Linked DNA regions of Mus musculus: regions 1, 2, 4, 5, 6 and 7 are each reported to be linked to region 3. The links are microRNA targets in miRTarBase. Many come from high-throughput screens and were not tested one by one. Region 3 holds a microRNA gene; each other region holds the end of a gene's coding sequence.
Evidence for each region. The annotated mature microRNA mmu-miR-1192 reads AAACAAACAAACAGACCAAAUU and lies in region 3 at 1,626-1,647, shown strand. An mRNA with a match to its seed (bases 2 to 7 or 8) in the 3' UTR can be bound and repressed. Matches are read on the target gene's strand: a 7mer-m8 pairs with bases 2 to 8, a 7mer-A1 pairs with bases 2 to 7 and ends in A, and an 8mer does both.

Region 1 (4,000 bases), not on the chromosome of region 3:
AGGAAAGCTACTGATTTGCTTGATTTAATTTTATATCCAGCCACTTTGCTGAAGTTGTTTATCAGCTGTGGAAGTTCTCTGGTGGAGTTTGGGGTTGCTTATAACTTCTATGCTGAACTGTTTTGAACTGCTGGATTATTGTACATCTTGAGTATAAATATTGAAGCATGATTTTTATGAAGTAATGGTTTTAAGTCTAATGGAAATGCTTTAAAGACTGCTGTAAAAAATGTTTAGGGGCATAAGCAAAAGCTGTTTTTCTGTGTTCTAATCCCTCCCATCCTACTTATTTCCATGGCATTGTTATTAACAGCTATGCGCCCACACAAAAACCTGTTCTGAGTGAATCAGCATGAATCACATTTCAAGATTCTAGTCCTTCAGTAACCTATAGCTATTATTATTTTAAAGACTGGTACTGAGCCTCTTGTATTTGGGGTTCAATTCTTCGTTTATTATTATTAAATTCATTCTACTTGGTTGAGTTTATAAAATTTGTCAGACATCAGGCTTTCTCCAGATGAAACATGGAGAATGAAAAGTCTCCATACTGCAGTCCCTCAAGTCATTCTTATGATTTTATTCTATTTCTTTAATATATTTATTTCTGGGCACTCTAATTTTATATCACTTATAAGTATGTAAATATGGCAATATTATTGTTTGTTTTATTGTATTTTTATAAAAAGTCTTGAAGTTAATAGGTATGAGTCATCTTTCTTGGTTCTTTTTCAACAGTTTTTGTTTGTTTATATGGGGTCTTTGGATAGTCTATATAAATTTTAGAGTAGATTCTTTTTTTAATGCTCCTGGAAAAACATCACTGATACTTTTTATTCTTTTATGTATATTGTCTTAGTGTTCTCTTACTGTGAAGAGACACCATGACCAACTTATAGAAGAAAGCATTCAGTTGGGGGCTTGCTTACATTTCAGAGGGCTAGTCCACTATTATCATGGCACAGAGCATAGCAACAGGCAGGCATGGTGCTTGAGAAATAGTTGTAAGTTCACATCTGTTACAGACTTTGAGAGATATGCTGGGCCTGGCTGGCATGGGCTTTTGAAACCTCCAAGGCCACCCTGCCACCCCCAGTGGCACACCTACTCCAACCTTCTAATCCTTCTTAGAACCAGTTCACTTCCTGGTCACTGAATATTCAAATATATGAGCCAGTGGGGGTTGTTCTTATTTAAAACACCACATATGTCTTCGGGGTGTATGTGTGTGTGTTTTTTGCAGTATTCATAATGTATAAATAATTTTAAAAAGATCTCATTTTCATCTCATATGTATAAGTGTTTTACTGCACTTTGTAAGTACTACATATGTGTGCATTGCCAGAGGAGGAGAGTATTGGATTCCCTGGTACTGGAGTTGTTGGTATTGGAATCAAACTTGGGTCCTTTGCAAGAGCAGTAGGTTCTCTTAATCTCTGAACCATATCTTCTCCAATCTTGGTATGAATAGTTTTCTTTTATTTTAAGACTTTCTTGAGTTAAAATTGTCAAGAGTAAAACACTGGTATAATAGAGTGGACTCAAGAATAATTTTACTTGTATTGTTTTTCTTGCTTCATTCTGGATCTTACTTAATTTTCAATATAAGGTATAAACTACCTATACTCAAATTATCTTATCAGGGAATCCCAAGTTATTTAAGCAAATTCTATAACTTACAATTTTTACTAATGTTCTTTCTCTCAATTATGGTTTTACCTAAACCATTGATTTTTAACCTTGAAAATTTATCTTATAATTATCTTATGGTATTTTCTCATTAAATTTTATTAAACAAAGCATATAGAAGGCTGGGGATATAGACCAGTGATCTTGTATAGCATGCTCAAGGCACTCTGCTCAGTCCCCAGAGCAACATACGCCTTGAAAATACCAAACTATGTGTGTTTGTGTGCATGTGTAGATGAGTACACTTTTCTTGTTAAAACTGGAAAATTAATAGGCATACTAGAACATTGTCCATTCTCAATCTTGTCGCTTTATTTCTGTTGATTTATTCAAGATTATACTAACTTGTTTTTTCCATATAAACAGAACCCTTCTACTTGGATAGATTTCACAATGTTTATTGTATATTTAACTCAAATATGCTATTAAGTATCATAAAAATAGAACTGTGTTCAGTGCTCTTGGTGAGCGTTCAGTCACAGAGAAAATGAGTCATGGACACAAAATAATACAGTGGGATAAAGTTACTGTAATTAACTTATAAAAATGAATGAGCTAGTTGACATTATTAGAGCAATAGTTGTGGCCTTACAGTTCACAGATGCTTTAATGAAAAGTTTCATCACCCTTAACAGAGGAGACAGGGGTCAATCTGGGTTGGAACAAAACCACCAAACTTAAAATGAATATTCTGGGAAGAACATGGAGAGTCTAATGTAAAACTTATAATAGAAATGATATTGGTACTTTTATGTATAAAAGATGAATATTTCTAAAACGCTGATCATTTTATGTTCAACTCCAAGTAATATGTAGAGTAATATTTGTGAGTGGTCTGTGCACCTTCCTCTGAAGCTTAGTTTTGGAACTTTAATCTGCATTGTGAGATTGGGTTTTCACTATTACATGTATCTGGAAACCATGGTCATTGAGAAATGGTGCTCTTGGGCTGGAATGAGCATATTTAGTTTGTTTGGGTGAACATATACAGGTGAAGCTGCACACAGCACAATGGTGTAGACTTTGTTTTCATTTCCTATATTTGAATAAACTCCTATACTGTGAAAAAGTTTACAATTATTTCATATTTGAGAATCTTTAAGGTGAAGGAACCTTATTATCCTTTGAGAAATGGGTAGGATTTTTACTTTTTTTTTTTAACAAAGTTTTTTAAGTAATTGACTAAAGGCTATCCATGTGACCACAAAGCAGAAAATTGAACTTTTCTAAATTGGCTCTGTACCAAAGAGTAAAATTTTCCCTTCTCTGGAAATGTTTGCTTGCGTGTGTTGTCCCTTTCCTTGGGCTAAGTGAGAAATGCAGTGAAGTAGCTGCCTTGACAGAAAGTACATTTCTGCTTTACAAAGAATGCTGATGAATCAGAGTCAGTGGAAGGTCACTGGGAGCACTTGGCTTTGCACAGGTTCTGGAACCTCTGTCTTAAATGCTTTTGAGATACAGTAAATGCTAAAAAAGACAAACAGTTGCAAGTTTCTTGGAATTTTCTTACTTCATTAGTCATGGGAATGGTGTATCTCAAGCAAGTGTCTGTGTAAAAGCATGCTATTTAGATAGTGGTTTGGTATAACAACAAGGAGACCCTTAATGCTGTTTAGTTTCACAGTATTTTGTTTTGAACTAAGAGATTCAGGCTGGATTATTTTTGTAGTCACATACAACAATTTTGGACACTTTGTTTAAACATAAACTTCCATCATAGTGAGATAAAACGGTAATGTTAAACTAATGTTTCTGTTCCTTTAGACATTAGGCACATGTACCTTAGGTTATAAGCTGCACTGATGGGGTTAGAAGTATGACCCTATGGGTAATCTTTTTAAGCAGATAAAACTGTTTGGATGCTTTCCCAGAGCAATTGGATTGCCCTCCAGGCGAATCTCTTCAATTCGCTCCCGAATGTAACGAGTGTCATTAGCCTTGCAGAATGTATCATCTGTAAGTGAAGATATGCTGTTAAACTGAAAAACAAAAGGAAAATATCAGTAATCTAAAACCAACTTTTTGTACATTTTACAATAGGGTCACATAAAGATATTTTGGCAATAATGTAATCTTTTTAAAAATATTAGTTCATGGTGATGACACCCTCTTTTGCAACCTAGACATATTTTAAGTGTTTAGTATTGTTATTACTCAGAGTTGCGTCCACTCAATCCTGTTTGGAATATAAACATGCAAGCTTAGAGAGAGTATCCTATTCTAAAGTGTTAATTCAAATGGTACTCTTTGCTTAAATAGCTGAAATTCTTGTGTTGCTGAGAATCAACTTTTTCTCGTTTTCACTTTTTCC
Region 2 (4,094 bases), not on the chromosome of region 3:
TTTGTAAACTTAGCATCAACTTGAAATCTGGGTCAAAGTGACTACGATCCATACCAATGGGAAATTTTAGTTTTTAAATGAAGTTTCATTGAATTCTCTTAGTAGAGTAAGTAGCTATGAAAGCAGAATCAGTGCCACGGGCCTTAAGAGATACCTTTTCTTGAAAATTACAATGTACAATGTCCCTGTCCCTACATACACTGACTCGTTGCATGGCACTGAAATAAGTCATAGTGGCAAAAGCAAGAGAAATCTAATTTGTGTAGGTACCAACTAGAAGAAATATACACAGAACTCTTAGAATTCATAAAATAAAAGAAGCCCACACAAAACTAATGATATATTCACAGCATCTGAATGCAGCACACAGACTAGGAATTGGGACTCCGAAAACTGACAGGTAAAAAATATAAGGAAACCTACACCATTTCCCTGCTTTTTTTCAGACTTCATACTACTGATTCCTGATTAGACCCATAGGCTTTACAAGCATTTTAGATACCGACATTACAAAGTTTCTCTTCTATTGTTTTGTAGCCTCTGATTCCAAATGTGTTCATCATGTCATCTTGATAAAGGGTCAAAGTGATGATTGCCCCAATTAAAAAAAAACACATTCTAGGTCTGTTTGTACTATTTTCCTCTGTGACATCAGCAGGTATCATTTTGAAGAAAGGTCAGATGAACTGTTCTTTCTTCTTAAGTGGCAGAGATCCAATAGCCTTATTTCAAATTATACCCACTAAAACATACAGTAAGCTGTCACCACATAAAAAATGCAATACAGAATAATGTGAACACAGAAACAATTCCTGTGTTGTTAGTGAGAAAGAGTAAACATTTAAGAATTAGAAGTTATTGTTTTATGGGATCATCTGCTGCAAGACAAGCACTATTTTCCTATAAATGTTTGAGACACACCAATAAGGTTGGCAGGTGTACACATACACTGATGAAATGCAGTTTACTGAACAAGTAGGCAAACACCTAAGCATCCCAACCCCTCCAGAAGAGCACAACCACGTTTCAAAATTTCAACTTTAAAATTAAAAAGATAAGGTTAAATACACAAGATCAATTTATGTAGTATATAATCACCCTCAGAAAGTGCTGAAGATGTTCGTGTAGCTCTGCTGCACAGAGGGTTCTTTCCCTGAGGGCACATAAGGAGCTCTCAACTGTTAATAGGTCTCTATTTTGTAACAAAATAGCAATTTTAAAATCTTAAAAAAAAATACATTACCTTCAACATGGAAGATCTCACTATTAAATATCCATGAAATAGACAGACTGGTTTACATAACCTTTTTGGAATTACAAACAGAAAGAAAAGAAAAGAAAAGAAAAGAAAAGAAAAGAAAAGAAAAGAAAAGAAAAGAAAAGAAGAGAGAAGAGAGAAGAGAGAAGAGAGAAGAGAGAAGAGAAGAGAAGAGAAGAGAAGGAAAAGAAAAATACATTGGAAACATTTCAAATGTAATAAGCTCATATTTATAGAAAGGTTCTGATATAAATTATATAACAATCATGTTCCTGTAATATCCTAGGCTAATTTATAATGTCAGAAATAAGTTAATGTAACATGGTTTAAAACTCTTGTTCCTCTTCATTTCAGGTTACAGAGTAAAATAAATAAAATGTCTTTGTAGGGATGGGGAGCACTGGCCATGGCAAAAAGGTACAGTACTAACCAAATAAAACTAAGTCAAGGCTACTGTGCTGTTATGTTATAAACAAACATCTTCATACACTTGAGTATTAAATAAATGTGTAAGATCTTCCATACTGACACCAGAATATCAAAACTACCCCTTTGTTTCTCAGGTATTATTTACAACGTATCAGTCACCTTATGAGCATGTTCATTAAGACAGGTATCAAACACCAGTATTTACTCATTCCAATCAAGAAATTTCAGGGAAATGTTAACCCTCCCACCCCTGGAAATGTGCACAAAACTTTTATCAAAATCTTCTCTGATACAATGCTGTGGTTTTTGTAAAATAACTAAATAGCTCAGACGACCAATAACATGATCCTGTTTAAGCATCTTGCTAGCAGGAGAAGCCCTTACATACAGTACACCTGGTGAAAGATCAGCTTGGCTTAAAATATTCCAGTACAATTTTCAGAGTAAACAACTTCACAGAAGTTAATTAAAAAATAATAAAAGTCAAACTAATCTTAAAGAAATGGAAGAAAAACAAAAAGATAAACTATTAGATTACTACCAGAAAGGCATGCCCTGCTTTTGTTTTTAAATATTGACTGAAATTTAAGCTTCAATAAACTACTACCCACAAATCTGGGGCAGAGCTGGTTGAACATACTGCATACTTTCAGATGCCAAGTGAAAATTTCAGTCACATTATGGCAGGGCAGAAATTATTCATGTTTTTAAGTATGGGTAATGTTAGCCAATGTTCTACTACTACATGGTTCAAAGTCTTATCAACCTAACAGTCAGAAAACAAGAAAATTAAACCCAACATGAAGTAACAATAAACAATATCTAACTAAATAATGCAATGAACACCCAAATTAATTTCTTTAAATTAAAGACCCAGCAATACCATCTTGTTAGTCAGTGCAAACGCTACATACAGGGTTTTCTCAAGAAAGCTGAAAGCACCTGATTCTTTTGCCAAGTCATCAGATTCAATAATGTACAGGCTTAAATCTGCATTTTAAAAAATTGCCATTACATTAGTGCATAATTTATCAAAATTGTAAAAACGATTCTGCATAACTTAGGAGAATTTAATATCTAGTACATCAGCTGAAAGACTTAGGCACTTGGTTATATTTTTAATTAATTACTTCAACAAGTAGCCTGTGTATAAATATTAACAAAGCAGAAACTATTCTTGAAAAATGGAAAATTAAAAAATTAAATGCTACAGATAAAAGCACTGCACTACACTTCTACATATAATGCAGTAAAGAAAGCTATTATAACCCTGTAAAACTCTATGGTAAGAACATCTAACTCCACTCTCAAAAAAAAAAAAAAAAGACAGAAAAGAAAAGGAAAAACAAAACAAAACAAAACAAAAAAAGAAAGAAAGAAAAATCCATGCAAAGTCCAATGAAAAAGATAAATAAAGCAGCTGGAATGAGATGGAAATTTCTCTCAGTGAAACATAAAATAGAAATAAGTTAATTAACTCTACTTTCACTAGATGTATCATTGTAGGATCCTGCTAGTTTAATAACTGAGTTGTTAATTTACTGTAGAAGCCATTTAAAATAGGAAATGGCTCAGTTACTGCACCGGATTGCTACAAACTCATAAAAAGCTGCTTGAAGCTTAAGTTAAATGTTGTCCAAATTCCAATAATTTCTGGAAAGTGAACATTACCCTAGTAAAGTAAATTTTCTTTTTTTTCATAATGCTAATGCAAGAGGGCTTGAAGTATCAAAGAGTCCACAGGAAATGGATGCCCCCAGTAATATCTTTTTTTTTAAAAAAAATATACATTATATAATATATATTATATATATAAAAAGCTAGTGTAAATGCTTCCATGGTGTGGTCACAGATTTGAAAGCTGAGCCTCCTTTCAGCTGTTAACCATCTTCCCATTTGCAATAGGTTTTAAAAAGTCGTTTTTATCTTCAGACATAACGTGAGTTTTCAGAATGAGGTTGCCAACACTGACAGATGTGGTGATGGGGAGGCAGCTTGCACTGCTAATAGACATTGGACGTGGCTGGCTAAAGCAAGATGTTACCGGCAGAATTGGTTTTTGCTCCTCCCTGAGAGAAAATGACAGTGAAAGCAAATTAACTTATGTACAATTTAAGAGTTATCACATTTGCTCTCTGAAAGCTACTTCAAACTCTAAGCCCACAGAAAAGCCTATCTTCTTTATTAAAAAATGTATTAAGTAGGGGCTAAAGAGAAGGCTCAGAAGTTAAAGCACAACTGCTACTCCAGAGGACCTGGGGGTTCAACAGCCAAAACCACACAGCAGTCTGTAACTCCAATCTCAGAGGAAGCAATGTCCTTCCGGGCCTCTTTGGGCACAAAGCTTGCACACACATAGACATATATGCAGTCAAAACACCCATACACATAAAAGCTAATAAATAAA
Region 3 (4,094 bases):
CTCTCGTGCCCAGCCAACCTCAGTTCCTGAAGCAGCTCCAGGCCAAGCTCAGAGTCCTTGCTTTTTCCTTCCTGGAAGGCCAAGAGTTAGTATTTGTCTTGCCTCCTCAGTAAGTGTAGGACTAGCAGTGATATTGGGAGAATGGCGTCCTCCACCAGAGTAGGGAGGAACCCAAATTTTTTTTTTTTTTTTTAATTTCTTGGGTCTTTCTCCACATTCATTCCCACTTGTTCCTAAACACACACGTTTGTGAGGTGTGTCTTCAAGCCTCTTTTTGTCTTAGCTGCACACTTCCCAGGTGCTCGGGGCTTTGGAAGCCTGTGGTAAGAGCTGAGAATCTGGACCTGGGATCCAAAGGTTTCCACTCCATCATCCCAGGCCAGAGCTGCTGGGTCTTTGCGTGAATGAAAGTGTTTTCTGGGGTTGGGGGATGGAACCTGGGCCTCCTGAGTGCTGCTAGCACTGTGTCTTGGGCCCCTGAAATTTATTGATTTATTTTTTGTTTGTTTGTTTTTCGAGACAGGGTTTCTCTGTGTAGCCCTGGCTGTCCTGGAACTCACTCTGTAGACCAGGCTGGCCTCGAACTCAGAAATCCGCCTGCCTCTGCCTCCCAAGTGCTGGGATTAAAGGCATGTGCCAACACTGCAGATCATTGTGGCTCAGAACAATGGGAGAAAGGTTGGGGGACTTCAGCACCTGCCCTTTACAGGGGATCAGCTCTGCTAAGATCACAGTTAGTGACGACAAGGCCCTGGCCCATCAGAATAGTGAGTGACTTCTCAGGAGCTCTAGCTAAGGCAAGGGGCTTCCAGAAGAGCCTTTACCTTCACCATAGAAACAGAGGTACCGTGATGGGAGCATGCACCTGCCCAGGCCTAACCTAACCCTGACTCCATAACTCTCATCACAAAGACTCAAGCAAAGCTTTTATCTCCCTGAAACCTCAGGTTTCTCACCTGTCAAATGGGGTTCCATAATTATATATATTCATGAAATTATGAGGCCACGTTCAGATGAGTCATTTAAAAGATTATGCATGCCAACCTTTTGCTGAGGATTACTACAATTAAAAAATATATATTTTACATACATATCCCAGACACCTTTGAGAGCCTTAGAATTTTTGTTTAGAATTCTAGGTGGACTCAGGATGGTGCTGAGCAATGGTGACAAGTGAAAGGTGTGTTAGATGGCGACAGCCATTGAGACTTAGTGAGCACTATCGTCCTGAACATGTAGTATGTCTCAGAGCCTGAGCTAAGTGGCTTACGTGCATTTCACTTGAATGTTAATCCCATAAGACCGAATAGAAGTGTGTTGCTTTTCTTGTTTAAACAGGAGGAATCAGACTCGTCCAAGGTTATGCTGAGATATTCCTACTGTTGTTTCAAGGTCTAAGTTGTACGTGAGGGCTGTTGAGTGGCTTGCTCCCAGTGAGAAGAGATTCTGTATTTATTCTTATGGCTCTTTTGGGTTTGGCCCTAGAGCCACCATCTTAAGCTGTCTTCCTTGTGCCCCAGGTCTGATGTGAAGATAGTTTTCATGAGTTTTAGTTAGGAAAGTCAACAAAAATAACTGCTCCTGACCTTGTCACCCGAAACTATTTCCTTCCAAACAGTAAAAACAAACAAACAAACAGACCAAATTTGTCATTGTTGTTTCGATTTGCTCTTTTTGTTTGTTTGCTTTTGTGTTTTGAGACAGGGTCTGGCTTGTATAGCTCATGCCAGCCTGCAACTCTATGGTCTAGGCTGTCTTTCTGCCTCAGCTTCCAGACTGCTGAGATGACAGGCCAGTGCTGCCACACCTGCCAGGGGCTGGGTTTGGGATCCATAAATAGGTTGCAAGCAAGAAAGTCCAGACTTGGACTTGCTCTGAGCTGGGCGTTGTGTCTCTCACCTATAATCCCAACACTTGATAGGCTTAGGCAGCAGACAACTGCCACGTGTTAGAGGGCACACTAGGCTACTTAGCAAAACTTAAAAAAAGATTAAAAATGGAGATCCAAGTTCAGGAGTTGCTGAATGCAGATGGACATTCAGTGCCCCCTCTCTCTATGGCTTTGCCACCCTCTTGCTGGCTCTGGCTTCATTCATGAGCAGGCTGTCTCTGAATGGTACTAAAATGGCTGCCAAGCAACACCAGACTCACTTCCTGCCAATTCAGCAAAGCCCCACAGAAAGACTACTTCCCATTCCTAATGATTCCAGCAAACAACCCAGGCTGAAAGCCACGGCTAAGCTTAAGTGGTGTGTCCCTTATGAAAACAGACTTATTTATCCAAGACTCTCAGGTCTGAAGGTGTGGGCTCAGAGAAAGGACTGGCTGCAAAGGGAAGCAAGGTGCACTGTTCCTTACCAGTAGAGGAAGATAGAGGCCAGACAAGGCGAATCAAACACCGATGTCCACTTAGGCTTGCAAATAGGCTGTGCCAAAGAGCAGCATTTATTTTCTCTGCTCTCCTGAGCTTAGCAGAAAAGATAGGCTCTGAGCGAATGGACAGAAAGGACCTGGCAGAGTACAGATAATTTCAACATATTTTACAAGTGCTCATGCACTCACAGGCCCCCCTGAGGAGATGATTGGGGAACCAAGACCAAACAAATGCTTCACATGGGACAAGTTTTATAAGCAGCCGTGTGATCTTCAGGGTTTTCACATCATCTATTCCAGTGCTCTGAGGGATGAAATGAATCACATTTACGTGAGCATTTATTATCCCAGGTGTTACTTAATAGAGAAGGTCTCTGTAAAGATGAGCCATTTATGTAGTGGTTCCTATCGAGATTCCAAAGTCCTTTCAATGTGCACCGTACTCAACAGAAACACCACAGTAAATACAGGAAACAGAAAATAGAGCTTACACACACACACACACACACACACACACGCCCCAAAGTGACTTAAATTCCTGGGCTGCCGTAATTCCGTTGTAGTTGTTGTATCATTACAGTTTCAAAGACAGTAGCAGAATGAAGTTGGGCGTGGAGTGCATGCCTCTAACCTGAGCATTTCGGGAGGACTAAGCAGGAGGGATGAATTCTGAGAGCATCCAAGGCCGGCTTGGGTCACTTGTCCAGATCCCATGGTGGGCAGGAGGCGGGGGGGGGGGGGGCGCGCCTCATGTTTGGAGAGCTCAGACCCAACCTTCATAGTTTCTGGTGATGAACACTGAATCAGGCCAATCTCTGACTCATTTTGTTGCAGAAATGAGTGGTTCAGTGGAGTAAGACTCTGTCACCACAGCCATACCCTGGTACCAGCAATGCGAAGTCCCCAGGGGGGAAGCTGGAGACAAATGATGGCATAGCATTGCCTGTCTGCCTCATCTGTCACAACCTACCTAGCTAGCTGGTAGAGTGGGCATAGTTACTAACCGCCCCCCCCCACCCCCGTTGGAGCAAAGCTCTATCTTGGCAGTATAAGAGTTCTTAGGATCAGTGAGTTTGTAAAGATACGATTCTACAGCTACACTGGCCTCAAACTCACAGTGATCCTTCTGCCTCAGCCTCGCAAGTGCTGGAATTATAGAAACAGCTTGTTAACACATTACATTGTATTATCTTTCTGAGGTAAAACTCAAGACAGCCATGCTAATTTGGGATTCCTCGCGTTCTTTCCCTGGTTGATATCTGGAATAGCAAAACTCACAGGCTGCTTTGGCATCATGAAGGGTCATCCCTGCAGCCTGGTGGTCTCCACTGGCTGTCACACACCCACTGTATGCTGAAGAGTGAGATTCTGGGCACTGTGACATTGCTTTCCTCTGGTGGCACCTAGTCCCGTCTCAACCCGGGTCCCACTTGACCACAACAAGCCAGCCCCTCAGGTGCCGTTCCAGTAGGACCTTCCTAACCTGGGCTTCCACAAGTTGCACTTGGTCTGGCGTGGCTGGGAGGTAGCAGCCTTTTCTGAGCACTTCCTGGTCTGACTTTAAGAGGAAATACAGAGCTCTGGCGCTCCCTAGAGACCTCTAACATCTGCACAGACACTGTTCTGCCAGCCCCATTCAGGGCTCACAAGCATAAGGTTGAAAATAACAGTAGCGAGTAGAAAAGACCCACGTAAGCCTCAAAACGCAGCAGCCTGGCCCT
Region 4 (4,086 bases), not on the chromosome of region 3:
CCAGACGGGCTTCCTAAAGTTCCTGCAATGGCTCTGTCCTGGCACAGTAAGGAGAAAGGCTAGGGTTGGCCTCCACCACCAGCACCACCACCCCAATTTAAAAAAAATAAATGGCATTTGTTTTATGTGTATGAGTGTTTTGCCTTGCAGATATATATGTGCCATGTATATACTTGGTACCATTGGATACAGGAAGATGGCATCAGATCCCTTAGAAGGCAAAAATGGTTGTGAGCCACCTTGTGGGTGCTGGGAATTGAGCCCAGAGCCACCACGTGGATGCTGGGACCTGAAGCCAGCGTCTCTAACCCCTGAGCCATCTCTCCAGCCCCTCAGTTTCTGTTTCCTTTTGTTTCTCTGGCTGCTCAGGTAGCCCTGGAGATAGCCTCGGACTCCTCCTGGTCTTCTTAAAAAAATTTTAAAAAATGGTTATTATTGTGTGTCTGTGCATCGGTGTGGGCATGTGTGTTCCATGGTGTGTGGGCAAAGATCAGGGAGTTGGTTCTCTCTCTCTACTCTGAGCTCTGGGGAGGGAATTCAGGTCGCTAGGCCTGTCCCTTCCCCCACAGCCAACTCACTAGCCCTCTTGTCTCTGCCTCCTAAGTTCTGGAATTAGAGGTAGGCAGCAGACTTTTTAGATATCCCACACTAGCCTGCAATTGCCATCCTCCTGCTTCAGCCTCCTGAGTAGCTGAATCCCAGCATGCACCATGCACCACCCCGGCCTCCTCACCTTTGAACTTCTCTCCAACTGTAAAGAAAAGCTATGTCTCTGGCACTGTCATATTTACTTAGGGTCAGGTCTGTGTGAAACCTGCGTGGACCTGGAATGGGGAAGATGTACCCCTCCAGTCTCAAGGCATCACATGCCCACCCCTCAGCCTCCACCAGCCCCAGGATTCTGGATACTGGGTACCACAGTGTGCCACATCCTTAAACCTCTCAAGAGAAGGTTGCCTGGGACTTTGAGAGGGTCTCTTGCCCCTGCCTCCTGAGTGTTGGAACTATAAACACCAGACCCTCTTCTTCCTTTCTTTTAAATTGTGTGTGTGTGTGTGTGTGTGTGTGTGTGCGTGCACACACACATACTTATCTGTATGTGAACCACATGTGTGGGTGCCTGTGGAGGCCAGAAGGCGGGTGTTGGATCCCTGGGAACAGGAGTTAATATGTGTTTGTGTGCCATCCAATGTGTGAGTGAGGAACCCAGGAAGAGATCCTTTGCAAGAGCAGTCAGTGCTCTTAACCTCTGAGCCATCTCTCTAGCCCCGCACCACCCTACTTTCATTTTTATAGACAAGAAAAAGGAAGGTTCAGAGAGGCCCACTGCTGGCGACAGATGTCCCTCATTCCTGGGCTGATGACAGCAGAAGTTGGACCTGCCTTGAGCTGCATGTTTAGCCCAGCGTGAGCCCTGAAATGCAACAGTGCTTTCCACACAGTCTCAACCAACCCCAAGGCAGTCCATCGTCCTGGATGTCCAAGCCACCACTGCAAAGGTGCCTTCTGTCCCTGGGCTGGCCCTGGCACCGGGTGCCCTTTCCATCTTTGGCAGGCTGCCTAGACTGCAGCTGTGTGAGTCCTCTTACCCTCAACTGCTCCTGACCCTGGGCCAGGCCTCCTCCCCCACTTTAATCTCAAATCCGCTCCTCCCCCACCCACCTTGCACCTCAAGGCATCTGACAGCACCCTGCTTCCATTAGAAGACCCAGACCGGCTTTCCACACCCAGCTGTGACAGGCTCCAGGAAGGACCTGAGTCATACAGGGGCAAGGAGTGAAGTTGGAGAAAGAGGTTGGGAGGCCTCAGGGGACAGCCTGTTCCAGCCAGCAACCTAGTCACGGGAGTTTCCACAGTGGCCGAAGCCATCAAAGAAGGAAAACACCCGATACCTTGGGCTGGGTTAGACCCCCCACCCTCACTGTCTGAAGTCACCCCAGTTCCATGCCACGCCCCTCGCTGACCCTGAGCGCCCTGCCACACAGGGCAGCTGCTGTAAGCGTATTTATAGCCCGGGCGTGAGTGGGCAAGGACACGTGCTTTATTTCGGAAGCGATAATTCCAGTTCCAGGTGGACGAACCCAGGAAAAGCAGCCTCCCCTCCCCTACTCCACTCTCACCTACAGGATGCTGAGGACAGCCCTCTTCCTGGCGACCAGCCCATCTGCCAACAGCCCAAGTTTGCAGGCCAACGTGGAGTTCTGTCGTATTCCTTGCATGTTTTCATCCTGGGGTCTGCACACACCAGTGACCCTCTAGCTCGACATTTTATCCGTAGTCTTTAACTCCATTCAGTCAGGCATTGTGGCTCACACCTGTAACTCTAACACTTGGGAAACTGAGGCAGTAAGACTGCAGTGAGTTCCAAGCCAGCCTGGGTTACAGACTGGGACCTTGTCTTGCCTCCTCCTCCCCTCCTGACCCCCCCCAAGTTCAAGAGGCAGCCAGGTGTAGTGCATGAATTTAATCTCAGCACCCTGGGAAGCAAAAGTCAGGTGGATCTCTGTGAATTTGAGGCTAGTCTGGCATACAGTGCGAGTTCCAGGACAGCCAGGACTACCCAGAGAAACCCTTACTTGAAAAACAAAAACAAACAAACAAACAACAAAATGTCAAGCAAAACCAAACTCCATTCCTTTGAAGGGAGAGTAGTGCAGCAGCTGACCTCTAGTGGTCAAGATTGGTAGTGCAGTGCTGCTAGTCACCCAAGATCCCGGGTCTGCCGAGACACCGAATCCTCTGGTTATCTTCGACTCCTGGCCTCTTTGTTCACGCTTGATTGAGTCTGGAAATCCTGGTGTGTGCTTTGTACCGGGACCAGGAACTCCAGAGTAAGGGGCAGCGTTATGTCTTGTGCACATTCTGCCCGTGTTCCACCACGCATGCCACCAGTTAATACTCTTGCAGCTATTGCTCAAATATTTACAGTGCACCTGCCAGACCAAAGAGATGAGAGCAGGACTCCGCCCTACGGAGCTTGCAGGCCGGCCCTGGGGCCTCGTGATGTGCTCAAGGCCACTCGGCGTGAATCGTGCGAGGACTTCGAGATCACCAAGGAGGTGAGTGCAGGTCTGACAGACATAGGTCGACCAGGCAGAGATGCAGAGAAAGGCATTTCAGGGAACAGGATCAGCCTGTACACCGGCCTGTGCGAAACGTGCCAAACGCAACCCCACTGCAGCTGGAGAAGGCCCCGGCCCTCAGGGATCCCTGTAGCGATTGGCCAACCGGGACAGGACTTTGATCCATCTCTGTTGGTTCTCTCGTGTCTAGCAGACAGGTGCAGTGCCTCGCCTATGGCTTCTCTAGACTGCGATACTTCTTGCGTTGCACCGATACCGGGTCCTTGAACAACACCGGATCCAGACGCACTTGAGAGGAAACCAGAGGCATGTGGCCGAACCCTGCTGCTAAACGGTTGATGCAGTCCTGATCCAGGGGCTGAGGCTCCGGCACTGGTCGTGGATCCCCAGAATCCTAAGAGGTGAGAGGGAAACGTGTCCGTGAGGTTGGTTTTTTTATGAACCCTCACGCTGCTGCAACAAGATTTGGATTAGAGAGTGAAGAGGCTCCGCCCTCTTTTCCTTCCCCATCAGGGCTTTCCAGCCCCTGGAGTCGCCTCACCATTGGCACAGCCTCCGGGTGCTGCCTCCCATAAGGCACCTTGATAGGGGGCAGTTTGGTGACGGTGGCTACCAGGAAGTTCATCAGGACGTCAACACAGGTGGGAGTCTCATCAGCTATGGTCCTCAGGGCCTTAGGCAGGGAGTGGGTGAAGAGGGTGTGGTAGTACCTGTAAGATACATGGTAAGCCTTAGGCTGGGGGGTGGGGGGGATGCAGGCCTCATTCATTTCCCTATCTTTGACCCCAGACCCCAAGTTCCAAGACCTGTACCCCATCCCCTAGCTCCTCTCCCAGGGTGCTCCCACCCTGGGCATGACCCTTCTCCATGTGCCCTGTGATTTAGGGGTTGGGCAATGATTGTGAATTCCTCCAGTCTCTCCGGGCGGCCCTCTTTCTGTGTTCCCAAGTCTGAACTCTGACAGAGATGACTTGATGATGTGTCTGTGGGGGGGGGGGGGGTA
Region 5 (4,094 bases), not on the chromosome of region 3:
GAGATCAGAAACAACTCCTGGGAGTTGGTTCTAGGGATGGATGGAAGTCAGCTTGCCAGTCTTACTGGCAAAGACCTTTACCGACTGAGCCATCTATTTGACCCCCCACATCTGATTTTTAGGCTTCAGTTCAAATGCCATCCTCCCCCCTTGCTGCAGTCTTCTGGGACACAAAGACAAGAGCTAAGCTGTAGTCAGCTTCAAAGGACAGGCAACTGAGCCCGGTGTTGCGAGTTGGTCCCAAGGGCCTGCAGGAAGTGGCAGATGCAATTTGAATGATCAGGGCTTTGGAGACTGAGGCTGAAGAACTGAGGACAGCTGTGCCCGATGAAGGGGGAGAGGAGCTGCAAAGTCTAGGGGACCTATCGTGGGTGTGGATTGGCTCGGTAGGGAGCTTGCGGCAGGGTGGGGAGCTTGCTGTCTCTGGCCCTGCTGAGTCTGCCTGTGGCTTTTCCCCTCCCAGGACATCACGAATCTGGATAGCCAGAGTCCGGACTGAAGGCCACATCTCATACACAAGTTCTTTCTGAGTAGCCAATAGTCAGCAGCTTTGGCCCGGAGACCCGGAAGACCCCCATAGGATGGCCCACTTTTGTGATTCCCTGCAGGCAAGAATGGACCATGGACAATTCTCTGTGCGCTCAGCATTGTCTGGGAACACTTTCTTCCGGGAAGTGGGACCCAGAAGCTGTGCTGGGGTCGGCACTGGAATGGGGTTAGGAGGTCAGGCTTCATCGAGTGAACCTGGAGGCTCTCCCCTCTGCATCCCATCCCCCCACCCTCAACTCCCTCATCCCTCATGACTGACATCTGCCAAATCCATGAGTCTTAGCTGGTGTGTGTGTATATATGTCTGCTTATCTGCCTGCCTGCCTGCCCGCCTGTCTGTCTCTGTGTGTCACTGGGTGGAGGGAGGTAGTGTAGGTCAGAGGTCAATCCCCGGTATCCCGCCTCCAGTTCGATCTGCCTTGTTTTTTGAGACTCACCCAAGCAGGTTTGTCTGAGGTTGAGAGTCCAAGGGATCTGCCTGGTTCAGCGCTGACATCACCCAAACTTAGGCCACCACACCCCACCATAAATGAGTCTTCATTTTGAAAAATAGTTTTTAAATTCAGTTTCCAGCTGGAAAACACACATGCATTCAAATAGCTGTAGCTGTGTCTCTGCCACGTCACTCCCGATCTCCCGGGATTAAAGGCATGTGCCACCACCGCCCAGTTAATTATTTTATCGTATTGAGAAAGGTCTCACTCTGTGGCCCAGGTGAGCATCTCTCTACCCCAACCCCACCCTAGTCTCTTGAGTACTGAGACTACAGCTGTGTGCCACCACACCTGGGCTACTTTACATGGTCACAGCTGGGTAGATTTCAGAAAGTCGAAGAGGGCTTCAAGCTGGACTGCCCCAGATGCTGCACAGATGTGCACTGCCCCAAAGCCTCTTGCCCTAAGACATGCAGCCTTCATCCTGTCTGTGCTGGATGGTTGTGTGTCAACTTGACACAAGCTGGAGTTATCACAGAGAAAGGAGCCTCTGTTGAGGAAATGCCTCCATGAGATCCAGCTGTAAGGCATTTTCTCAACTAGTGATCAAGGGGGGAGGGCCCAGCCCAGTGTGGGTGGGGCCATCCTTGGGCTGGTGGTCCTGGGTTCTACAAGAAGGTAGGCTGAGCAAGCCACGGGGAGCAAGCCAGTAAGTAGCCCCGCTCTGTGGTGTCTGCTTCAGCTCCTGCCTCCAGGTTCCTGCCCTGTGTGAGTTCCTGTCCTGACTTCCTTTGGTGATGAACCTCGATTTGGAAGTGTAAGCAGGTTAAACCCTTTCCTCTCAATTTACATTTTGGTCACAGTGTTGGGTTAGAAACCCTGACTAAGACACCATTATCACTGATGGCTGGGACGTGTTTGGCCCTCTTGTGGATGTGTCTATCTGCACAATTGTGAGATGTGGCCAGTGACATAGATACGCATATTCGTCACACGTCCATACCCACACACAGGAGCTGGGGCCATTGACTCCCTGGGCTATTGGCAGGAAAGTGTGACCATGGGGGAGGGTATCAAAGCCTGGGTGGCAGAGTGAGTCTCGTAAGCCTTGGAGACTATTGGTGGCCACAGCAGGCTCATGGCACCTGGGCTGAATGGCTTCATTCATGGCAGCTGAATGGAGGTAGGAAGGCCTGGCTCTCAGGTGGAGGCAGTCTCAAGCGAAGGCATCCTTTCAGGAAGTTCAACTAAAATCCTCCCTTTATTTATTTATTTTTAATTCCATCAAGGTGTCTCTTACTGGCACTTGATCTCCTTATAGATTTATTTTAGGTAGTATTCTTGGGTGTGGCATGGACGTGCAAGAGCCAAAGCTTTGAGTGACTTTTCAAAAGATGGTGTTGTGTGCATTGGTGGGTTATTTTTGTTTGTTTGTTTGTTTGTTTGTTTTTGCCTGCGTGTGTATCTGTGTGTGGGTGTCAGACTCCTGGAATTGGAGTTACAAGAAATTACTGTAATGTGGATGCTGGGAATTGAACCTGGGGCCTCTGGAAGAGCAGTCAATGCCCTCTTATCCACTGAGCCATCTCTCCAGCCCCGGGAACTAAATTTTTGAAACAAGGGTCAGGAGCCTTTTGTACATAGTTTATTTTATTATTAGCAAATCAGTCTTCTACATAGTTCAGGTTAGTTACCACACCCAACTGTACATAGTTTCTTTTATTTATATATAAATTATGTTTTCATTTTAAATTATGTGGGTTGGTATGAGTGCAGTATCCACGGAAGCCAGAAGAGGGTGCTGTATCTCATGGCGCTGGATGGTTGTAAGCTGCCTGCTGGGAACAGGGCTTGTTTTACCACTGAGTGCTCGCTCCAAACCTTGGACATTGTCTCTTATCTGTAAGAACGACTATCCAGGCTGTAGAATATTTGTTATGAGTTCCCGATGCTGGCATCCAAGTCTGGTTTTTATACTGTGTTGTTTGAACCAATAAAGACACTGACTCAAAGTGTGAACCGGATCTTTTCAGGGAAGCTAGGTCATCTTGCTCCACCCAGTGGAGACAAAATGGCTGCCCCCGTGTTCCATCTAGAAGAGACCAGATGGCCGCCACCAGCCCCCATCCAGGACAGTCCGAGCTAGTGGGGCCAGCCTCCCTGTCCCTGTCCTGGGTTCTCTCTGGCTCAACTTTAGAGTGACACCATGCTGACACAGTAATAAAAGGGGTGCTAGGTTGGGTGGTCATGAGCTCAGGGCTTCCCATCCGATCCCAGGCGGGTAATGTCAGAAATGAGATATTGCTGTCCTAACCTGACTCCTGAGGCAGAGAGAGGCTGGGTCAGCCATCGTTCTTTTTGATTACTTGATGAAGCTGGTGTGACTTAGCACAGGTGTGGAGAAAGGGTTTGAGGCCGCTCTCTGCTATGTGTCTGAATGGGAAAAGGACGGCATGGTTGAGGGGACGTTTACTGTAGATATGAATGACAGAGAAGCCAGAGGCATCTGGGAGAGTCCAGACTGCACATGGCTAGCAGACTGACGCAGACCATGAGATGGCGGTGGGAATCCATAGAGGAAGGAGGGGCTGTGGACCAAAAGAGAGGCCACATAGCCAAAATGGCTGGTTATATATACAGGAATGGGAGAATCTGGGGTAAGGGGAAGAAAGCTCTGGCGTTGGAGAGAATGCGGGTAGGGGGGCGGGGCATGCCAGGCAGGACGAGTCTGTAACAGGCACTTGTGAGTATGGACTGAGCCAGAGTCTGCCTTGGTGTGTTAAATAGGCACCTCAGCCATTTGTCCCGGGTTTCTCTGAGACCTCACAATATCCAGTTTGAATTCAGCCTGGGTTGTAAGGGTTCAGCATGTGGGAAGCTACATACGCCATTACAAGATGGCGCTGGCTACCGCTGGCCACCGCCCATAAGTTCGGGTAAACAACCAATGTGCGCATGTGCATAAGGGTTTTGCGCCACGTCACAGCCCATCCTGGGGAATGTAAATGAGACACTGAAACACAACCAATCAAGTATAGGCCACTCCTAGGCCTATACAAGCAGCGCCAGTTCTGGGCTGGGGACTTTTGCCTTCTCTATCAAGCTCTCCCA
Region 6 (4,094 bases), not on the chromosome of region 3:
GGCCTGCAGTCTCCAGGCGCCAAGGACGGACCCGAAGACCAGGTCAAGTTCTATACGCCTGATGCGCCCACCGCATCTGAGGAACGCAGCCGGACTAGGCCGCCCTTCGCCCCCGAGTCTAGTCTGGTTCATTCGGCTCTCAAAGGCACCAAGTATGACTACGCGGGTGTGGGCCGGACCGCTCCAGGCTCTGCGACCCTGCTCCAGGGGGCCCCCTGTGCCTCCAGCTTCAAGGAAGACACCAAAGGCCCGCTCAACTTGAACATGGCAGTGCAAGTGGCCGGGGTGGCCTCTTGCCTGCGATCTTCACTGCCCGACGGTAAACAGTGCCCATGCTCCCCCAAGCCAGTTTAGGCAGGGACGGGAGGTGGGGTGTCAGGGACAGTTGGACAGGGAGGAGACCCGCCAGCAGTGGTGAACGTCTGTGGGGCGGGCAGTTGATCTGAGCGAGCTGACATGGGTCGGGGCTCTGTTGCAGGCCTGCCGTGGGGGGCGGCCCCGGGGAGGGCCCGCAAGAAGAGGAAACCCTACACAAAGCAGCAGATTGCGGAGCTGGAGAACGAATTCCTGGTCAATGAATTCATCAACCGGCAGAAGCGTAAGGAATTGTCTAACAGGCTGAACCTCAGCGACCAGCAGGTCAAAATCTGGTTCCAGAACCGGCGTATGAAGAAGAAGCGGGTAGTGCAGCGCGAGCAAGCACTGGCCCTCTATTAGCTGCCCACGGGGGCCTGAGGCCTTGCCAAGCCTGCCCTTTTGGACCAAGGCCTGGCTGTGGAGGAGGTGTTGGGGCTGCAGATTTCCCTCCCACTCCTCTGGTCCTGGGCGCCCTTCGGCTCAGTCTGTAGCTGAGGAACCAGGAGGAGATTTGGAGATGAGGCCAGTGGAGCCCCCTTCGCTTTCAGCTCTCTTTGGGACCCTCCTGAGAGGTGTTTGGGAATTGCAATCTAACACTGGCTTTAAACATTCAGCATGGTGTCTGGGGGTCACCTGTCCTTGTCTATGATGTTTACATCCGGGGCTCACTATTGAAACACTGTATGAGGGTTTGTTTTTTCCGGTTTTCAACGTGTTCTTTTTCTTTTTCTTTCTCTATCCAGCTCTTTCTGCATGAAACAGGAGCCTAGCTAGAGCTCCGGGTATAAGTGCAGGTAGAAAGGCCCTGAGACCCCGCTGCAGTGCAAGGGGCTGGGGATAACTCTAGCCCCTTCGCAGCAGAAGCCCTTTGTGACAAAGCTGGGCTCTCCACTCTGCAGGAAGGAAAGGGCCTGATTCCACAACCCCCATCTGCCCTGAATGATTTGGGAGGACAAAAGCTACCCTAGACCTTCAGACTTGTGGGGGGGGGGGGAGGAAAGGATACCCTGGAACCTCAGCGCTTCAAAGGTTCTCCTGCTGAGTAAAACAGGCTGGAAGATCTCCTTCTCAGAGACAGGGAGAGAAACTGGGACTCCAAAACAAAGTATGGTCTCTAGACTGTCATAATTCCCCTGCTCCAGCCTCACCTATCCCTGAGCCAAGGCCAAGCACTCTGTAACTAGATCCCCAGAACTGAGCTATGGGTGAGGGGAGCTGCTGGCCTGTTTTGAGGCTTGGCTGCACAGGGAAGAAAGAAGAGTAAGCGAGGCGGAGGAGGATCTGCACTCTGTAACCACGACTCTCCTCTTGAATGAATGAAGTTATCCATATGTCTGTCTTTCTTGAATTTCCTTAATGTATCACCACAGGAAGAGACCCCCCCCCCAAAAAAAATGCCTCCTTGAGGAGTCTGAAGGGTGGGAGAAGAAACCTCTCAGATTCTCAGACTGTAGTTGCTGCTCTTGAAGGACAGAAAACCAGCACTTCTTCCCCATCCTCTCCACCACCCACCAACTCCATCAGAACTTAGCTAGGGTGTCTCTTCTCAGAGACTGGTGGTCAGCTCTTGTAAAGCTTTTAAGGCCCCAAGCCCTGCCAGGTTTACCTTGAGAAACCTAGGTTTTCTGAATTGTGAATGAAGTTGCTCTACGCCTGTTATAGAATCTGTCCAGCCTCATTCCCAGTGAATTCAACTCCGCCTTCCCCTACAATCTTTGCCTCTTCTTTTGAGCTTTAAGCCCCACCCCCAACCTTTAGCAAGATGCACAACATCCCAAAGGCTCATGATTCCTTCCCCAAGTCCAATGGCTTTCCTTTAGAGAAGGTCTCCAGGAACTGGACCTCGAAGGGCATCTCACAAGGACCTTTGAGCCTCGCCCCAACTGACCTCGGTTGGTGTGTTAAATATTATTTCCTGTGCTAACAGTTGCCGTTTATGTTTTGTTTTGATTTTGTAAAATAACACTTCCCTGTATATATTAGCTTCATAGTGAAAATAAATATCCAGATCCCAGACAAGTTGTTAGGGGGCTGATGCTCATTTTTAAAAGATGCCTTAAATTCTTTTGTAATCTTTTTCAGGCTCTCAAATTCGTTTTTTTGTTTTTCTCCACTTGAGGTTTCAACTCTGGCCTTTGCTGTTCATTAAATGAGAAAATGGCTTCCCAGACAGTCAGGAAACAGCTATATATTTTTTAAAAGAATTATAGACAGAATATGTGTGAAATATTCAAAGGGGGAGTCCTTGGGCAGATGTGGTTGTATCTCAAACACAAAGCAAACTAAAAGTTTGTAGACTAAGGATTCTCAACTTTGCCTAAATTCTCAAACTTTAAAGCTCACTATAATTGGTGGGGGAAGGGAGAGTCAAGATTTGAGACTCCTCAGATTTCAAAACAAAACATCTCTCTGCCAAGTTGTGGTCAGAGTTCTAAGGAGCAAGCTAAGTCCTAGGAAGCTCCCTAGGTAACTGCACCAGGACTTCAGCAGGCTCCTTAGGAATTCTGCCTTTGGAGCCCAGAGTTCAGTCAAATAAACCCAGGGCCTGTTTAAAAGTAACCCCTTTGAAAATGACTCTTAACTCATAAAGGTAGAAAGTAGTGTCTCACTAGAGAAAGAATAAGCAAGACCAATGCATCTCTTAATACTGAATATTCAAGTTCCAATTCCCTTCCTGGGGAACAAATTCGATTTATGCATATAGTATTTTTTAAACAATTTTTAAAAAATATCCACAACAATTGGAAGGTAAGAAGGAAGGGGTTGCGAGGGTCCTGTGGTTGGGATGTTTCCCCATCTTACTGTTCAGGAAGGGAGTGGTACTAAGCCAGGTTTCTGGAGTCTGAGTCTGTATTGAGAGGTTTTCTCCTCGGAAAAACAACTGAACAAAGGCAGAAGCCATACTGAGAGACCTTGGGTCCAGAGGACTGAGAAAGGAAGAAGAAGCCAGACTTCCTCAGACTCAGACCCTAACACAAAACATGCAGGCCAATTTTCCTAGATAGATATGATACTAAGCCATTATGTTTCTGTGTATTCTGGAATGGTTTGTGTATGGAGGGTGGGGGGAGATTCCTAGAGACCAGTCCCAGAAGAAAATTAGCCTAAGTATAAAATCTTATCTGTAGGTCCAGCGGTGTTTTCCAAATGCATCCCCTTTACTGATCCACAGAAATCCAAAGACCACGGAGTCTCCTTCCCTAACCGAAGTTCTGAAAGAAATTTGGAACCAGGGTACGAAACAAATGCCAAAGAGAAAAGATATTGAAATCTGATGGCTCCACATTCCCTCGTAGAGAGAGAAATGCTTCTGAAACGCTGCAATCCACGAGGCCTCTTGACTAAGAAAGAGGTTTTAAAATGGAAAAAAGGACGGTTTACCCTGCTGTTCACTCCGTTGATAGCTCTGGAGGCCGAAAGGGGGAAGCTTTTAAGGGCCGAGGGTTCTCCCCCTTGGGAGGCAGGCTAGGGAGGCTTCCTGGCTGCGAGCTAGTGGAGGAGAGATCCAGAATCCTTGTAAATATTCATGTCTGGTGGTGGGGGAGGGAGGTGTGCCCCATCACTGGCCTCTCTCAGCCGCATCCACATCCCTCAGTGGTAGTGGGGGGCACAGCGCCTGTCCAACAGTCCTTGGACAAAGGTGATCTGCCCACATTTTTGTTGTTGTTGTTTTCCAGTCTCCACTTAAGTCTTTTCGGTAGGCTCTGCAGGGAAGAGACTGGCTCTGGGTGTTTCCC
Region 7 (4,000 bases), not on the chromosome of region 3:
CACAAATGCATTAACCTTCTGAAACTGGGTTTTGCTTTAACATATGCTAAGTACCATAACCCCCAAAACTAAAAAATAAATATTGTATCCTTTAAGCTAAGCGATAGCACAGTGTGTAAAGGACAGTGGTTGTACAAGCCTATTAACTGAAGCTCCATCACCAAAATGAACCCATACTAAGGTGGAGAAAACTGACTCCACAAAGCAATTCTGGCCTTCATATGCATGCATGCCTCATGCAGTCCTCCTTCCAGCACTAACACAAGTTGTATCTTGTGCGTGTGTGTTCCTGAGTTTTATCTAGCATTTCTTTGTTATTTGTGCACACATACATATGGACAGGGCCTATGAGAGTGAGCCCTCACATGGACAAGTCAAGAAGGACTTTCAGGAATCATTGCTCTCCACTGCGGGTCCCAGAGACTGAGCTTAGATCATGGGCTTGCTTGGCAAGCACTTCTACCCATACAGCTATCTAGACTCCATTATTGTAAATGTTCGCAGAGGCTAAGTCTTCTGTTACAGTCTTGGGTCTTTTTGCAAAGACATGTCAACCACTACAAAGACTAAGTGAGGTCAGCGCCCTTCACTTTCAACTCTTCCTGTCAGTGAGTAGTCCTGGTTTGCAAATTCATTCCTTTTGATGCAGTGCTAGGTTCCAAGAAGTAATCTTTTTGTTTAAGTCACTGAGAATAAAATTCAGCACACAATTAAGCAATCATTGGAAGAGTTTATTTCTTTTTTTTTTTTTTTTTTTGAGACAGGGTTTCTCTGTGTAGCCCTGGCTGTCCTGGAACTCACTCTGTAGACCAGGCTGGCCTCAAACTCAGAAATCCGCCCGCCTCTGCCTCACAAGTGCTGGGATTAAAGGCGTGCGCCACCATGCCCGGCTTTAAGAGTTTATTTCTTATATAAACTTATAATTGAAAATTAACATACCCTGTTACCTTCTATATTCTTGAGCCTTCTGACGATAAGGATTTTTTAAGAGCTGGGTTATTTTAACATCTGACCCTAACCAAGAATTATGTACCACACATCCTCTTGTTTCCCACAAGCCTAGGAAGAACTGATAAAACATTCTTAAGAATTAGTTGTATAGCTAAGTGGTATATTAGCCCAGTGGATATTAGCCCAGAAGCTCAGAATACCCAAGATACAATTCACAAAACACATGAAACTCAAGAAGAAGGAACACCAAAGTGTGGATACTTTGATCCTTCTTAGAAGGGAAAACAAAATACCCATGGAAGGAGTTACAGAGATAAAGCATGGAGCAGAAACTGAACAAATGACCATCCAGAGACTGCCCCACCTGGAGATCCATCCCATTAACAATCACCAAACCCGACACTATTGCAGATGCCAACAAGAGCATGCTGACAGGAGCCTGATATAGCTGTCTCCTGACAGGCTCTGCCAGTGCCTGACAAATACAGAAGTGGATGCTCATAGCCATCCATTGGACAGAGCACAGGGTCCCCAATGAAGTAGCTAGAGAAAGGACCCAAGGAGCTGAAGGAGTTTGCAAGCCCCATAGAAGGAACAAAAATATGAACAAACCAGTACCCCCAGAGCTCCCAGGGACTAAACCACCAACCAAAAAAAACACATGGTGGGACTCATGGCTCGAGCTTCGTATGTAGCAGAGGATGGCCTAGTTGGTCATCAATGGGAGGAGAGGCCCTTGGTCCTGTGAAGGTTCTATGCCCCGGTATAGGGGAATGCCAGGGCCAGGAATGGGAGTGGGTGAGTTGGGGGGAATGGGAGGGGATACGGAATTTTCAGAGGGGAAACTAGGAAAGGGGATAACATTTGAAATGTAAATAAAGAAAATATCTAATTAAAAAAGTCTAATGTAAAAAAAAAAAAAAAGAAAAAGTTTTATAAGTCAGTGGCACCTGCACACCTGCCTGCTATTCAAGCCCTGGGTCTGAGGCTGAATACCACAAAAAAAGCTCCTCAAAGCCAAGGCCATATTATTACGTGGTTGGTGTAGCTGTGCATTTAAGTAACCTGCCTTTGACCTTACATCCTAATAAGATTACTAGTGACAACAGAAACAGTGACACCTTTCCCATACATAATGTGAGTTTTAGAGCATAGTAAAATTATATAATTTCTCATGATATAGTGTAAAATAAAGGAATAAAAATACACCATGTTCCTTTCCTACCAACATGACAGCTTAAATCAGGAGAGCTGTCTTAACTTCTATGTCAAGTTATCCAAAATGCAGTTGAAGTCCACGTAGGAAACATCTCTGACAGCAAGCCACTGTCTCCCTCCAAACTCTGCATGAGTCCCTAGTCTATCTTGACCAGAAAGCTGAAGCACTCACTCTGGGAAGTCCATGTTCTTCCTACCTGAGAAAGGCTCAGCATTTGATAACATTTCCAACGTGACTCTGAGAATCTGCTAGGAAATGCATCATTTCTTAAGCACTTAAAATATTCTTGACCAGAGGCGGAAACCATGACCAGACTAGCAAAGCATTGGAAATGTTTTCAGTTCTTTTAAATATTACTTCTTAAAGGTTAATTCTGTTTGCTAAGTTTATCTGAAATGAAGTCAATTTGAACAGTGTCTTCCTAGTTAGAGAATAGTAAGATAACAGAAGTGATTTTAGGGACGCTCCATCTGTGGGACTCAGACAGACTACCTGAGACTGAGTACTTTATGAAGAAGAGATGGACTTTCTCTAGGTCATCGGTCGGGAAGGTGAGGTTATCTAGTGAGGATTTCCTTGCTGTATCAGGACACTGCAGAGGAAGAAGAGGAAGAGCAAAGACGGGAGAGGTAAGGGGACAAACTCATCCTTTTATCAAGAACCACTCTAATAGAGCACGGACCCATCTGCCCTCAGGATTAAGTACTTTGTAAAGGCCTCACCTCGCGTACCATATCAGGTTATGTCATGTGTTTCCAACACATGATGTCTGTGGTGGGGCACGTTCGGACTATAACAAGGACCGTTAGTCTAAACTCTAATTCCTGTTTCTCTTAAGCATTCTCAAGCTGGGTGTGGTAGCTCAGCATATAATCCAAGCCTGGAAACAGGTAGGAGGACTGACTTTTGCGTTTGTGGCCATTCTGAGCTACAGAGTGACCCTGTCTCCAAAAGGAAAAAAAAAAAAAATTCCAGTAGCTGATACACATTCTGAAAGGTAGAATGTCCAACTGGCAACAGAACTAAATAACATTTCTGAACTGTTTGAAAAGCCCACTCTCACTCTATTGAAACCTTTTGCTTTCTGACCATGAAGTCATTAGCAGCTTGATGCCCCAACTAGAAACTTCATCGAATTCTACATATTTAGTATGTTTGGTGGTCTAGAACATAAAGGGTTGTCATGATATGGTATCCCAACCCACTGCACATCTGTACCACATTAAATTTTAAGGAAGCCACATGTCAGTCCTCAGCCCTGACAGCTAGTGAACGTGAGAAGTTAATTCCTGAATGCCATGGGGAGCAAGAGTTTAAGTGCGTACTCCCTCTTTGCTGTAAGATTCTTAAATTCTTAATAAACATTCTTTACTTTTGATGTAACTCCACCTCCTTTAGTTTTTTTATACCATCTCATGCTCAAAAACTGGCCAATCGGGAGATGAAGGGTCCAGGGCAATTTATTGTTCATTATTCTGAATCATCTTTATGAAGGCAATCCACACACTGAAAACAGCCTCAAGTCAAAGGTACGACTGCACTAACTAGCATTTACTGGTATGGCGACTATCCACATCATTCAATGTCTTTCCTCTTGTTTTTTTTTTAAATAACACTGATGAACCAGAGGCAGCAATTTCCCTTCTTTGTGAAGCCTGTGAGTGTCCGCTGCGCCTCCAATAAATCGTCCATTGACAAATATCCTGGGAACCTGTTGAAGAAGGAAAAGATAAATAAGGCCTAACCATCGGTGTCAGAACTGGTCCAGTTTTGGAGGGAAGTGAGGAAAAGTAACTTGCCGAATATAGCAACAGGAAAAGAGGTAGGAGA

Region 1: miRTarBase lists Ogn as a target of mmu-miR-1192. Seed matches in the 3' UTR shown: 7mer-A1 at 2,848-2,854.
Region 2: miRTarBase lists Rc3h2 as a target of mmu-miR-1192. Seed matches in the 3' UTR shown: 7mer-A1 at 2,845-2,851, 7mer-m8 at 1,730-1,736 and 7mer-A1 at 1,201-1,207.
Region 4: the mRNA of Extl1 is a reported target of mmu-miR-1192. Seed matches in the 3' UTR shown: 7mer-m8 at 2,597-2,603, 7mer-m8 at 2,593-2,599 and 7mer-m8 at 2,589-2,595.
Region 5: miRTarBase lists Bnip5 as a target of mmu-miR-1192. Seed matches in the 3' UTR shown: 7mer-m8 at 2,409-2,415, 7mer-m8 at 2,413-2,419, 7mer-m8 at 2,417-2,423, 7mer-m8 at 2,421-2,427, 7mer-m8 at 2,425-2,431 and 7mer-A1 at 2,915-2,921.
Region 6: the mRNA of Hoxd12 is a reported target of mmu-miR-1192. Seed matches in the 3' UTR shown: 7mer-m8 at 1,047-1,053.
Region 7: miRTarBase lists Glrx2 as a target of mmu-miR-1192. Seed matches in the 3' UTR shown: 7mer-m8 at 1,557-1,563.

What each region holds. Positions count from the first base shown.
Region 1 is chr13:49,622,481-49,626,480 of GRCm38, reverse strand. Ogn (osteoglycin) reads right to left here. Exons shown (of 7, transcript NM_008760.5): 7 at 1,980-3,668. The coding sequence ends at 3,498. The region is part of intron 5 of Cenpp (centromere protein P); the gene reads left to right. Among named protein-coding and RNA genes, the nearest start is that of Ogn, 16 kb to the right of the region's middle.
Region 2 is chr2:37,371,673-37,375,766 of GRCm38, forward strand. It overlaps Rc3h2 (ring finger and CCCH-type zinc finger domains 2), which reads right to left. Exons shown (of 22, transcript NM_001100591.1): 22 at 1-3,756. The coding sequence ends at 3,561. Among named protein-coding and RNA genes, the nearest start is that of Pdcl, 14 kb to the left of the region's middle.
Region 3 is chr19:23,147,825-23,151,918 of GRCm38, forward strand. Mir1192 (microRNA 1192) reads left to right here and starts at 1,607; the gene lies at 1,607-1,727. The region is part of intron 1 of Klf9 (Kruppel-like factor 9); the gene reads left to right.
Region 4 is chr4:134,354,354-134,358,439 of GRCm38, forward strand. It overlaps Extl1 (exostosin-like glycosyltransferase 1), which reads right to left. Exons shown (of 11, transcript NM_019578.2): 10 at 3,625-3,793; 11 at 2,020-3,477. The coding sequence ends at 3,295. Slc30a2 (solute carrier family 30 (zinc transporter), member 2) reads left to right here. Exons shown (of 8, transcript NM_001039677.2): 8 at 1-131. Among named protein-coding and RNA genes, the nearest start is that of Slc30a2, 13 kb to the left of the region's middle.
Region 5 is chr17:28,895,293-28,899,386 of GRCm38, reverse strand. Bnip5 (BCL2 interacting protein 5) reads left to right here. Exons shown (of 12, transcript NM_172450.3): 12 at 464-2,992. The coding sequence ends at 499. Among named protein-coding and RNA genes, the nearest start is that of 1700030A11Rik, 7.9 kb to the left of the region's middle.
Region 6 is chr2:74,675,336-74,679,429 of GRCm38, forward strand. Hoxd12 (homeobox D12) reads left to right here. Exons shown (of 2, transcript NM_008274.3): 1 at 1-319; 2 at 479-2,370. The coding sequence ends at 717. Among named protein-coding and RNA genes, the nearest start is that of Hoxd12, 2.4 kb to the left of the region's middle.
Region 7 is chr1:143,746,389-143,750,388 of GRCm38, reverse strand. It overlaps Glrx2 (glutaredoxin 2 (thioltransferase)), which reads right to left. Exons shown (of 4, transcript NM_001038592.1): 4 at 711-3,881. The coding sequence ends at 3,750. Among named protein-coding and RNA genes, the nearest start is that of Glrx2, 8.8 kb to the right of the region's middle.